3 linked regions of the Ovis aries genome follow. The protein of the gene in region 1 interacts with the protein of each later gene in a pairwise test. Links are inferred from orthologs where the notes say so. Each region holds a gene or a part of one and is shown in the gene's direction. Other genes may lie near its edges.

Region 1 (4,119 bases):
TTAACAGGGTACCCTGGTGGCTTAGACTTAGCCAAGCAGTGGCCAGCATCGCTTGGCAACAATGCCCAGACACTTCAGCTTGTGATCCAGGAGACAGACCTTGAGCGGCAAGCACCTGCTTTAATTTAAAGTACACTAATTAATATCTGTATCTGCAAAGTCTAGCACAGGACTTGGTGCATAGAAGGCATTTTTAAACGTTTGAGCAAGGATGACATATGGATATGAAAAGGATAACAATGTTTGAGAAAGATAAAAATGCCCGTCATTCGCTGAGTACTTCCCGAGTCAGGTGACTCGGTGGCTCCCTACAAATTCCGTTTCTTAGAACAGCCCTGGGGTGGGTCTGTATCATTCATTCCCCCATTCCCCGTTGCTCAGGCCCACACTGCGGGGAGAAGCGTCTGCTGGAAGTTGAAGTTGGAGGGTCTGGCTCCAAAGTCTGCCTTCTCGGCGCAGCGACCAGGAGCGTCCACATCACGCTGCCACCTCTGTCTCCCCGGGTCTGCAGGTGAAGCTCGGTAAGGGGCCTTGCGTTGAGACCGCGTCCTTCCGAGTGGTGCAAGGATGGGCTCCTGGGCGGCTCCGGAGGCCTGTCCGCAGGCTGCGAGCCGGTGACTTGCAGCGGGGCGCGCTCTACCATCAGGTGTGGATGCAGCGGTGACCTTCGCCGTCAGAACCTGACTCCAGTGGACGCTCGATGACGACCGTTGGTGAACCCCCGCGGCTGTCAGCGGAGATCTGGAGACAGCCCCAGGCGGAAGATCCTGCCCAGGACGCGGCACAGACCCGGGACCCGGGAGCCCAGAGCCTCGGCTCGGCAACAGCGCACCCACTTGGGCGGGGCTCGGGGCGGGGCTCGAAATCGGCCCACCCACCTGGGGGTTGGGGGCGTGGCTCGGAATGGGGCTTGGGGCGGGGTCTGGGGCGGGGTTTGGGGCGTGGCTCCGGTCAGACCCAGCTAATCTGAGCTCGAGAGGCCAGCCCCCGCCACTGAGGAGGTGGTGGCACTTGCGCACTCCGCCGCCCCCGCGCGCCTCTCCGGGGCTGGGGGACGGGGCGGGGCGTGCCGGCGGCGCTCGGCGCTGACGCTGCGCCGACGCGCCCGACGTCGGGCACGTTGACGCCGGCGACGCGCCGCCGGGCCCGCTCCTCCTGCGCTCCGCCAGTGTCCGGCCGCGGGCCGGCCTCAGTGACTGGGGGCGGCGGGCCCGGGGCCGCGGGGCGCGGGGCGCGGGGCGCGGGGCGGGCGGCGGGCGGCGGGCTGCCTTCGTCGGGCCCGGAGCTCGCCTGGAGCGAGCAGCCGCCCGCGGAACGTCCTCGCCCGCTCCCGCCGGCGAGCAAGGTAAGGCAGCGGGGCACCGAGGCAGGGTCGGTGCGGAGCGGGGCCCCGGGCGGCGCACGGCTGCTTAGTGTCAGCGCCCCCGGGAGCGCGGGGCGCGGCCCGGGGGGACCCCCGGCGGACGGGCTCGCGGGGCAGTGCGCCGCCCCCCCACCCCCACCTCCCTGACCCCGGCGCCAGGTGACCCAGCGCTGGGCGCAGGGACGAGGACTCGGGGCCAGGCCGGGCTCCGTGGAGACCGGTCCCCTGCGCCCTGGGGTCCCCGCTGCTGCCGCACCGGGGCGCGGGTGCGAGCCGGGTAGAGGCGTCGTTCTCGTCCGGTGCGCGGTGCGCGGCTGGGCACCTCCGTCCCGGAGGTCCGCCGACCCCGGAGCACCGCCCCTCGCCCCGTCATTACATTTGAGACAGAGGAGCCTCTGGTAGTCTCACCCTTCACTTTTCCTCCATTCCTATTTATCCATCTCGACCCGCTATATTTCCATTGTGGAATATTTTGGGGGGGAGGGAGTGGGGTGGTGGGGGGAGAGGCTGTGACCTTACATAAGTGAGGTTGACTGACCAACCAGCGGAGTCTTTGCAAATGCACCTCTCGCAGTCCGTAACGAGCCTAGTTCCCGTTTAGCGCTCACCAAATCCAGCCCAAGAATCCGGGGAGCTAGTCGGTCCTTCCCCGGAGCTGACTGTACACATTCCTGTAAGATGCCTGATGGGTTTTGTACTTGTCAGTTTTACTGACTGTATGCTCCTTCTGTGCTTTTTCCTGAAACATGATTGGGTGGCACGTGTTTTGACTTTCTACCTCCCTCGCCGCTCCCCGCCCCACCCCCCCCAACCGGGAAATAAGAAAGGAGGAAAAAAAAAAAGGGGGGGTTACAGAAGCACGCTTGTTTCTCAACAATCAGAAAGTACGGCTTTGCAAACAAAATGCCACAAGGGTTGTCCCTTATGTGAGGGGTAGTCTTTTTGGTCTTTACCCACCCCTTCACTGATGATCGTCAGTATTCATGTCTTCATCTTGGGTGTGCCTTGCACTTCGGATAGGCCTGTGTGTATTTTCCCAGCGTACTTCTCTCTACAGAGCCTAGCAGTCAGATCTGGAAATAGTAAGGCCTTTCATTTATCAGCTCCAGATAGCTAGAAAGTTGCAGCTTTGTAGAAGCCTTTATTTAGAAGCGCCCCATGACGGTGGTCCGGGTCTTTTGTTTCCAAGATGATGTGCGAGGTGATGCCGACCATCAGTGAAGCCGAAGGCCCCCCGGGAGGAAGTGGGAGCCAAGGGTCCAGCTCCCCTTCGCAGCCGGATGCGGACTCACATTTTGAACAGTTGATGGTGTCCATGCTGGAAGAGAGGGACCGTCTTCTCGACACGCTGAGAGAGACCCAAGAAACGCTGGCATTAACCCAGGGGAAACTGCATGAGGTTGGTCACGAAAGAGATTCCTTGCAGAGGCAGCTCAATACTGCGCTTCCACAGGTATGGATGACTTTCCCCTGCAGGTTTTTGTCTAAATGCTTTTTTTGGGGGGGCATGCTGCTATTTTAGATGTGTATTTTGCCATCATCACTTGCGCAGCGGTGGTTCTGTTATTTGTAAGTCACATACAGATAGAGTTCCTGGGGGATTAAACGTCTTAGCTAGAGCAAACTCGTGTACTGTCGAGTCCTGTGAAGACACCTTATCGGTCCTGTTCATCTCTTTGGGGGGTCAGCAGAAGGAGCCGCCTAGATTTGGAGAAGCGCTGCAGAGTTTTGGAAAAAAGGGCCACCAAGTAACGAGTCTCTGCGATGCCTTCTGCTTTGTTGCCGTAAGCCTTTCCCCTCCTAATCGTGTGACTCTGTGGGTTGCATCATGGATTTCCAGTTTCCTAATGCAGTGTCCTGGACAAATGGAATGGATCTCCCAGGAAGAATATATTTACAGTCTGCCTTTCTCAGCAGCCAGGTGCTTTGTAAGTCAAGTTTGTTTCAGAGGATAGAAGATGGGTTCCTTCGGCACTTTCTCTTTAGCAGCTGAAGATTATAAAGTTCACAGTCACAACAAGGTTTTTCATCTAAGGGTATTGCGTTTAGAGCCGTGTCTCCAGGCCTTTTCTTGCGGCGCCGAGTGAGGATCTGATGATAGGTGCAGGGAGGTGTCAGCTGAAGACTGTGAGGTGGGTGGCGCAGTGTAGCGGGAGCCGTGAAGTTTCCTCGGGTGTTTATGGCTGCGGAGGCGCCGTTTGGCTTACTCATGATAGGCGCCTTTATGGTGCCGTCAGATAGACCTGAATAAGCGTGCGTGCATTCTCTCGTGATGGGTCTGTGGTGGTAAATTAGTAAATGAATAATTACTAGCCTTAATGCATTTCTTGGCTTTCGTCAAGTCTCCTGAAAGATTGATAAGCCAAACATGTGGACTTCCTCTTTAGCAACAGGAATTTTATGGCAGTGCTATGACGTTCCTTCTCTGTCAGACATGAGAATCATGGAAGTGTTTTTCCCATTTGAGTCTTGTAAATTACCAGGTTTGTTTGGGTCCAGTGTTATCACCAGTAACACTGTCTCTAGGAGATCGTGAAGGACTGGTGTGCTGCAGCCCACGGGGTCACAAAGAGCTGGACACGACTTAGACTTGAACAGCCGCCGCCGCCACCACCACGGGCCTCGAAGGATTGCCCAGGTTGTGCTTTACTGGGCTTTCGTTGTAGTGTTTGTAAGTCTTTTCAGTACTTGGGCATTTTTCTTTTGTTTTTTCATAATTGTATTTGTCTTGTAATTTGAGGTGCAGCCGCGGACGT
Region 2 (3,643 bases), on another chromosome or scaffold:
CACTCTTTGTTAAACACTTCTTTTATCTTCTTAATCTATGCCTCTTCTTTTTCTGAGTTCTTGGATCATTGATCTCTACCATCCTTAATCTGAATTCTTATAGGTAGATTGTGTGTCTCCACTTCACTTATTCTACTGGAGTATTATTTTGTTTTCCCATCTGGATATGTGTATTCTTGTTGATAGAAAATAAACTGCAACTTAAAAGCTTAATTTATATGCTTTTATTTTTTCCATATAACCTCACAGATTTGTTGTGAATATCAAATATGAAAGTCTTAAGTGAAAGTAGATCATACATTTTAAAGTTAAACTGATTGAATAATCTCTGACTCACAAAAGAATAAGCTCCTAGTAAATAATCTCCATTTTTAAAATTGATAAATGAAGTATATTGAAAATATAGTCCAAAAGTATTCATAGTATTTTCTTTTTTTAATCAGACTTCCATCTGAGATCAGATTTATGTAAAATTTTAGATGTGCTTCCTTTCCATCTCCAGATTTGGTCTTAGTCTTTTCTGATAAGAAAACTATAACATGAGGCAGTAGGTTAAAGTGATCTTTTCAGATGAAGAAACTGAATCCTTGAATAAACTTCTTTGTGGATTTGCCTTTATATAACTTATTTTTTATAACTGATAGTTTTGATGTTTGTTTCATGTAAAGTGACCAAACTAAGCTTCAGAAGTACTTAAAAAGAAATATGTTTTTTCCATCCTAAAATAGATATTTATTTCATTGGTTCTAGCCAAATGAAATAGTGGTTAAAAGTACAGGCAGACCTTGGTTGAAAACATCCCTGTTCCTTGTTAGATGTCTGACCTTGAGCAAGTCAGTTAACCTCATTGATATTATTTTCTTTCTCTGTAGAGATAGCAACACTTCACCAAATTGTTATAAGAATTAAAATAAGGTAATAGTTTTGAACTTGGCACAAAGTGTGGCACATGGGATGCGGTCAGTAAATGGTAGGTGCTCCTTCTGCTGTTTGGTTTGGCAGCAGTGATCATGGTTAGATCACAGATCTAGAGTGGATTTAAAGAGAAGACTCATTGCTCTAACAGTGTTATTCTATCAGTATTTTATAAGATTGATTAAGCTTTGATCATTTGTATAAATTATACAAATATATGTGTATACTTAGTCACTCAGTCATGTCCAACTCTTTGTGACTCCATGGACTGTAGCCCGCCATGCCCTCCTCCAGGGGATCTTCCGATCACAATTTATTTTGAGTTAAGAAAAAAATAAGTTTTGGCATTTTTTTACCAGTGACTTTTTTAAAGGAATATTTGCATAAAATTTTTTTTTTAATACAGAACAACTTGTATGTGTGATAGGTTCTGATAATATGTGTATTTTTAATCTTAGGGTACAGCTTGTATGTATTTCAAGCGCTTTTATCTTAATAACTCAGTAATGGAATATCACCCCCGGATAATAATGTAAGTATAATTTATTGATTTTCACTTAAGAATACTTTTTTACTATGTGACCATGTACGTGTGTGAAAATGACTTCCTAATAAAGGGTAATTTATACTTGTATTCTATTCTGAACTTAAGATTGCTCCCTCAAATTCTGATGACATCTGTACTGGCACGTGTCCAAATTCACATTCTGTTTCTCTCAAATTGGCTACCCTGATATCTTTCTGTTAGTGGAACCTTTCTTCACTCAGTTGCTCTGAGAATCATTTACGGCAACTTCTCTTTCTCTACAAATTTACAAGTCCTGTAGTTCCCTGTTCATTCCACTTGAACAAAGATCTGTTGTTTCTGGTCTCTGCTAAGCACTGTGCGTATCGTTACAGATGAAGTTAGTATGAAACGTAGCAAAGAACTTGCTGTCAGTCGTACTGTCCCTGTCTATTTCTTCTTTTTCATTCTCATCTCTACCAGTCCTGGTCAGGCCCTTGGTGCGTCCCATCCTTCTCACTCTGAAACTCATGTAGCAGCCATGAGAGTTTAATAGGCTTGTTCTTGAGGCAATAACCCTCTATTTAAATGCCCGTAGAGACTTCCACTGATGGCTTGTCACAGTGTTTCTCTGACGTAACTTTCTTCCCAGGCCCGTATGTACTTATGTGTGTGCCTTTTTTTCCTTCTTCCATTTGTTTTTCATGATGCTGAGTTCTCTTATTCCTATTATTTTGTTTTCCCAGATATTTAGGCTGAACTGCCATTAAGTTAATAATTGAATGCTGTGACACTATTATACAGTTCAACCTACAGCTTTAGTCACCTTATGAATAAAAAGATTAAACAGGAAACTTTTTTTTAACCAATTTCCAAAGATGTCTAGTATAGTCATTTGTGAATATTAGGCAGTTTTAGAACATACTTTTAGAAATATTTCATTATTTTATACATATTCCTCCCCTTATTTTTTCCTCTAGGCTCACTTGTGCATTTTTGGCTTGCAAAGTAGATGAATTCAATGTATCTAGTCCACAGTTTGTTGGAAATCTGCGGGAGAGCCCTCTTGGACAAGAGAAAGCACTCGAACAGATTCTGGAATATGAACTGCTTCTTATACAGCAACTTAATTTCCACCTTATTGTCCACAATCCTTACAGACCCTTTGAGGGCTTTCTCATTGATTTAAAGGTAATCTTGCTGATGTAAAGTAAATTGGTAGAGTGAACTCCTTTGCTGCTGTTAAAAGAATCAAAATTTTGCTATAATTTATAATGATCCTGATGGGCTTAACTAAAATATGAGTTTCGCCTGAATTCTTAGGGCAATAGTTCTCAAACTTCAATGTGCTTTAGTGCTTCAGAACCACCTGGAGGGCTTATTAACTGAAATTGTCAGACTAGTCCCAGAGCTTCTGATTTAGTAGATTTGCAAATGCCAGCCCAGGGACCCTAATGAAGACCATTGTGTCTTTGTAGTAACACTTTTAAAGACTTAACTCTTCTAACTCAAGTATACTGTCTTGGATACAAAAGGCTTAATTTTAAACTAGAAGATTGCTGAGTGACTTCTATTTTTAGGACCTTGTGAACTAAATTCAATATGTAAGCATCAAAAGTAACAGTAAATAAAATGTTTTGTCAGAACACTAACAAAAGCAACTAAAGTTGTTTTGTTTTGGTCCTGAAGAAGGACTTGAGTAGTGTGAGTTATTGGTCCATTCATCTTGAGTGGCAAAATTTGGGTGCTTTCTTTGTGCCAAACATGGTGCTTAAGGATTAGCCAAGAACTAGACAGGAACAGCCTCAACTTTATAGGCCTTATAGTCTCACAAGAAAGTGTCATATATTCAGTGTGCTTAATGTTAACAGAAGGGGAAATACAGGGTGCTTTAGAAGGAGATGGCAGATTGAGAGGAAGAGGAGACAGTCCTGAGAAAGTGTAACAAGGCGAAATCCAGAGCAAGAGCAGGGACCGGGTGGTAGAAGAGCATCCTGCTCAGAGGCTTCTTTGGCCAAAGGCCCAGATTTTAAACCCATGGTACACTGAAGAACCTAAACAGAACTGAGGGATGGGGATGTCTGCCTGAGTGGAAGGCAGTCTAGACTGTGGAAGTTACGTTACAGATTTTGCATAGAGTTGACAGGAAGCCAGTGAAGGGGTCAGGTCTGAGGAGTGATATGATCAGGTTTGCAGCTTTAAAAACATGCTGGCAAGCTCATG
Region 3 (4,074 bases), on another chromosome or scaffold:
GAGGTAGGCTCCCCATGTTTCATGAGGGTGGCAGTTTCATGAGGAGAGGGCTGATGTGATATGGACTGCACGGTAGGTCTGAGATCAGAGGCTTTGGTGCCAAGGTGTGGCTCTTGGTTTGGAGCTCACCAAGTTCCTATGAGTTAGAACCTCTAGTAAATCTGTTGGTAAGTTATTGGTTTAGCCAGAGATTTATAGGGTCAGCATTTAAGTTTGATATGAGGAGTCAGAAATTCAATACTGAGGTTTATATCAGGCTTGGAGGACACTATCAAGTGCTGAACTAAGGGCCAATTCAGGACCTGACTCAGGTCCACAGTTGGCATTGCTGATTTTGGGGTGCTGGCCAGCCTCAGGCTGGGGTTGATATAGGGTCAGAAGAGTAGAGAGTGAGTATGGGGCTGCAGTGGATTTGTGTGGAGCTTCTACAAGGCCAGTCTCATAAATCTTAGGTTCCAAGATTACCACTAGAGGTGAGTCAAGTTAGGGTCTTAAATGGGCCCTCAAATGGACAAGGTCTGAGGTCAGTATTTGTATTAGGGTCCTTTTCCAGGGACTCAATCCTAGTTCACAAAGTGTGTTGGTATTGACCTGGGTCTGGGACTGCAGTATTAGAGTTTTATGGAAAGGCTTGGGGTTCACAAAAAAGTGCTGGGTAGCTACCATAGCAAAGTAGCTATCGTATTTTAAGGTTCACACAGGGACTGGGGCTCAGCATTGGTACTGGGGTCCATTTAAGGACCAGGGTTGATGCTGGGGTCACGATCAAAGAAGAGGTGATAAAGGGATTTTAGCCTAAGAATTGGAATTTCAGTTTAATAAAGGGGTTCAGATTAAAATTACTACTCGAGCCAACTTCACGGCAGATTTGGGGGTTTGGACTTACTGTTGAGTTGGGGTGGGTCTGGGCTCAATAGCAGGTTCAGATCTCTACGGAGAGAAAATGGGGTCCTAGAGTAATATCAGGTTCACATTTGGATTGGAAGCCTCTAGTAGGATCCGGACTTCGTATGGAAGTTTGGGTCTGCCCATGCTTATTATGGGGGTTCCGGTTCTGTACTGGGGTCCGGGTCGGTTTACACGCGGGGTTGGGTTGCGGCCTCGGGCCTACGCGGCTCAGCAGCTCTACGAGCGAGAGTGCACGAGGGGAGGGGCGGCGCCGGGGACGCGCACGGCAGGGGCAGGGGCGCGGGCGTGGGCGCGGGCACGCGGCTGGAGCTGGCGCGGGAGCGGCGGAATCGGTGGCGGCGGCGGCAGAGGCGGCGGCTCCAGCTCCGGCTCCGGCTCCAGCTCGGGTGGCGGTGGCGGGAGTGGGATCCGGTGGCGGCGGCGGCGGCGGCAGAAGAGGAGCGGGAGCAGCGGCCCCAGAGGCTTGGGGGGACATGCGGACCGACGGCCCCTGGATAGGCGGTGAGTGACCCCCGGGCCCCCTTCCAGTTCCCTCCGCATCGGTCCCTTCTCCACTCCCCCGCCCTCTCCCCGCGTTCGCAGAGCGGAGCTGGGGGCGGTCCCGGGGGGCTGGGGGCGCCGCTTAGGCCGGGCCGCGCCCCCACCTGCCGCGCCCGCCGCCTCGGCTAAGCGCCCCCACCAAGCCCGGCGGCTCCTCCCCGCGTTACCCCGCGGCAGACGGACCCCCCCCCCCCATCGCCCTGCCGCCGGCTGGCTAGCTCCTTGCCGCCCCTCGGCGCCTTCCCCTTTCTCCGCCTCGCCCCCTCCCTCCCGCCGCACCTGAGCCGCAGCCCGCGCCGCCCCCCTCCCCCCCGCCCAGCGCAAAGTTTCCCTTTTGCGTTGGGGCTCCCCCTCCTGGGTCCCACCTCGTCTGCCCCCACCACCGGCGCGGACACGCTCCGGGGGCGGCCCTCAGCCTCCCACCGCCTCCCCAGCTCCGGGCGGGTCCAGGCCGCGCCCCCGCCCCCGCCGCACAGGCGCCCCCTCCCAGCCGGCGGGGGATCCGCAGCCGCCGCGCCCCCGTCTTGCTCGCGGCCCGGGCGCACGTGCCGTCCCGGGGTGCGCGGGGCGCGAGTTTGGAAACCCCCACCTCCCCAGCCCCCGCACCCAAGTCGCCGGCGCCGGCTGGGGAGGCGCTGGGCCGGGCTGTACCCGCCCCTCCCCGGGTGCAGTGACCCAAAGGCCCTGGGACGACCTGTCCCGTGAGGACGTGTCCACTCGGACCCGCTCCGGAAAGTTCACTCAGTCGCCGCCCGGCGTCCCGTCCCGTGTTGGTGTGCCCCGGTCCTCATCGCTGTGCCCACGATCCTGTCTCGGCTTATTTCTCCTTTTCCCTCCGTGTTTCCGTCTCTCTACGCCCTTCAAAGCCTCTGTATCTCTGTCTCCCCGTGTCGCGGCCTCCCACTTTCAACCCACTCCACCCCCCAAGCAATCCCGGGGTCTCTCTGCTGTCTGCGACTCCCTCCGGGTCTCCCCTGCTCTCTCGCTGGCTCTCTGTGCTCTTTCTCCCGGCTCTCTGTGCTCCTTGCCGGGTCTCTGTGTTCCTTCTCTTGGGTCTCTCTGTGCTCTTCCCGGCTTTCTGCTCTCTCCTCCCAGGTCTCTCTGCTCCCTCCCCCATCTCTGGGTCTCCCTTCCCGGGTCTCTGTCGGGTCTCTTGGTGTCTCTGTCTCCCACGGACTGGAATCTCTGCTGCCCCTTTGCAGAGACCCAGACCTCCTCCTCGTTCCTCTGGAATGCTGCCCCTCTGGTTCTTCCACCCTAGGGTGGGGGAGGGGCTAGTTTTTCTCCTCTTTTCAACACCCCCCACCCCCCAGTGCAGGGCCCCCAAGTTGGAACTGGTTGATGGGTGGGTGCCGGGTACCTGTCTGAGCTGTGAAATGGAAAGGAGGCTGCTGGCAGGAGTGGGGGGTAGGGTCCTCTGGATTCCCCTGGGGGCCCCGGACGGGGGTGGGGGGGGGCAGGCCTGGGAGTCTGGACTGCGGAAGTGTTGGTGATGAAGACTCCCCTTGGGCTCCCAGAGTGACCTGGTGTGGGATCTGAGCAGAGAATCCAGAGGAGTGCATTGGGGTGAGAGGCCTGGAAAAAGATCCAGGGCTGGTGCTTCCAGGGGGATCCTCAGTGGTGAAGGATCCACCGAAAAGGCAGGAGATCTGCTGAGGGATCCTTTGAGAGGCATATGGCATCCAGTGGGATCCAGAGCAAGGTTCTGTCAGAAAAATCTCAGGAAATTCTGTGTTTGGCTCCTTATTAACTCTCGCTTCAGGGAGCAAGAAAATCCCAGTTTTTCACTGATGGTATGAATGAGCCTAGGGCTTCAGGAAGGAGTAGGTGAGCCTCCCCAAGCACAGCCCCCCAACATCCGCAGCCCCAGCCCAGGCCACACACTCACACCCCCCTGTTTCTACACTCAGCTCACCCTCCCACCCCCACCTCCACTCCATATCCACTTGTCTCCCCAGTGCCCTCTCATTTGCACACTTGGGCCTGCGCAACAGCCAGAGCTCCAAAATCTGCTGTGTTTGCACGCCCATGTCCCAGCCTGTGTTCTTGCTTACACTCTCACTGCTCCCCTGTGCACAGCCTAGGAAGGGTGTGTGTATACGTGCAGCCTCATGCTTTCTTGTGCACACATTTTCTCATACATTTTTGCTTGCTCAGTTTCCCCTTGTCATTGGAGACATCTCTGTAGTTCTGTTTTCTCCTTGCTCTTCCTCTTCCCTCTTTTCTCCCTTTACAAAGAAAATAGTTTTCATATAATTTCTTCTTCTCTCCTTCCTTCTGCAGCTCCTGGCCTCCCCTCTGGTCAGCCTTGTGCACATAGTGAGCGTGTGTGTGCTGTCCCGGCTTCTAGGGGAGGAGGCGAGGTTTAGGCTAGTGAAGCACTTGGGGAGGGGATTTCGGGGAGAGGGGGAGCGTTGCAATAAGAGCAGCCTGGCTGCTTTCCTTGGGAATTATATTTATGTGCAGCAAAATGCCGGCCTTTGCTCTCTGTGCTCCCTCCAGTCTTGTTCTCGTCAGTCCTGACTGTGGAAGTCCAGTACACTTAGCAGGAGATAGGACCCAGACTGCTTCCTACAGAGGCTGTGACACACGCTACAGCCCCTCCACTTTCCAGTTTGAGACCTT

Evidence for each region.
Region 2: the proteins of PPFIA1 (region 1) and CCNH interact in binary tests that used the Homo sapiens proteins (3 or more experiments, as listed by UniProt). The link is inferred for Ovis aries from reciprocal best matches to the Homo sapiens genes PPFIA1 and CCNH.
Region 3: the proteins of PPFIA1 (region 1) and PTPRF interact in a two-hybrid assay, tested with the Homo sapiens proteins (2 studies listed by BioGRID). The link is inferred for Ovis aries from reciprocal best matches to the Homo sapiens genes PPFIA1 and PTPRF.

The regions. Positions count from the first base shown.
Region 1 is NC_056074.1:43,817,881-43,821,999, forward strand, and holds the start of PPFIA1 (liprin-alpha-1), read left to right. Parts: upstream 1-1,241; 5' UTR 1,242-1,345; intron 1,346-2,552; coding exon 2,553-2,816; intron 2,817-3,051; exon of another isoform or gene 3,052-4,119. UniProt on the Homo sapiens protein: May regulate the disassembly of focal adhesions. May localize receptor-like tyrosine phosphatases type 2A at specific sites on the plasma membrane, possibly regulating their interaction with the extracellular environment and their association with substrates.
Region 2 is NC_056058.1:84,668,272-84,671,914, reverse strand, and holds part of CCNH (cyclin-H), read left to right. Parts: intron 1-1,373; coding exon 1,374-1,447; intron 1,448-2,400; coding exon 2,401-2,611; intron 2,612-3,643. UniProt on the Homo sapiens protein: Regulates CDK7, the catalytic subunit of the CDK-activating kinase (CAK) enzymatic complex. CAK activates the cyclin-associated kinases CDK1, CDK2, CDK4 and CDK6 by threonine phosphorylation.
Region 3 is NC_056054.1:18,193,597-18,197,670, forward strand, and holds the start of PTPRF (receptor-type tyrosine-protein phosphatase F), read left to right. Parts: upstream 1-1,220; 5' UTR 1,221-1,410; intron 1,411-4,074. UniProt on the Homo sapiens protein: Possible cell adhesion receptor. It possesses an intrinsic protein tyrosine phosphatase activity (PTPase) and dephosphorylates EPHA2 regulating its activity.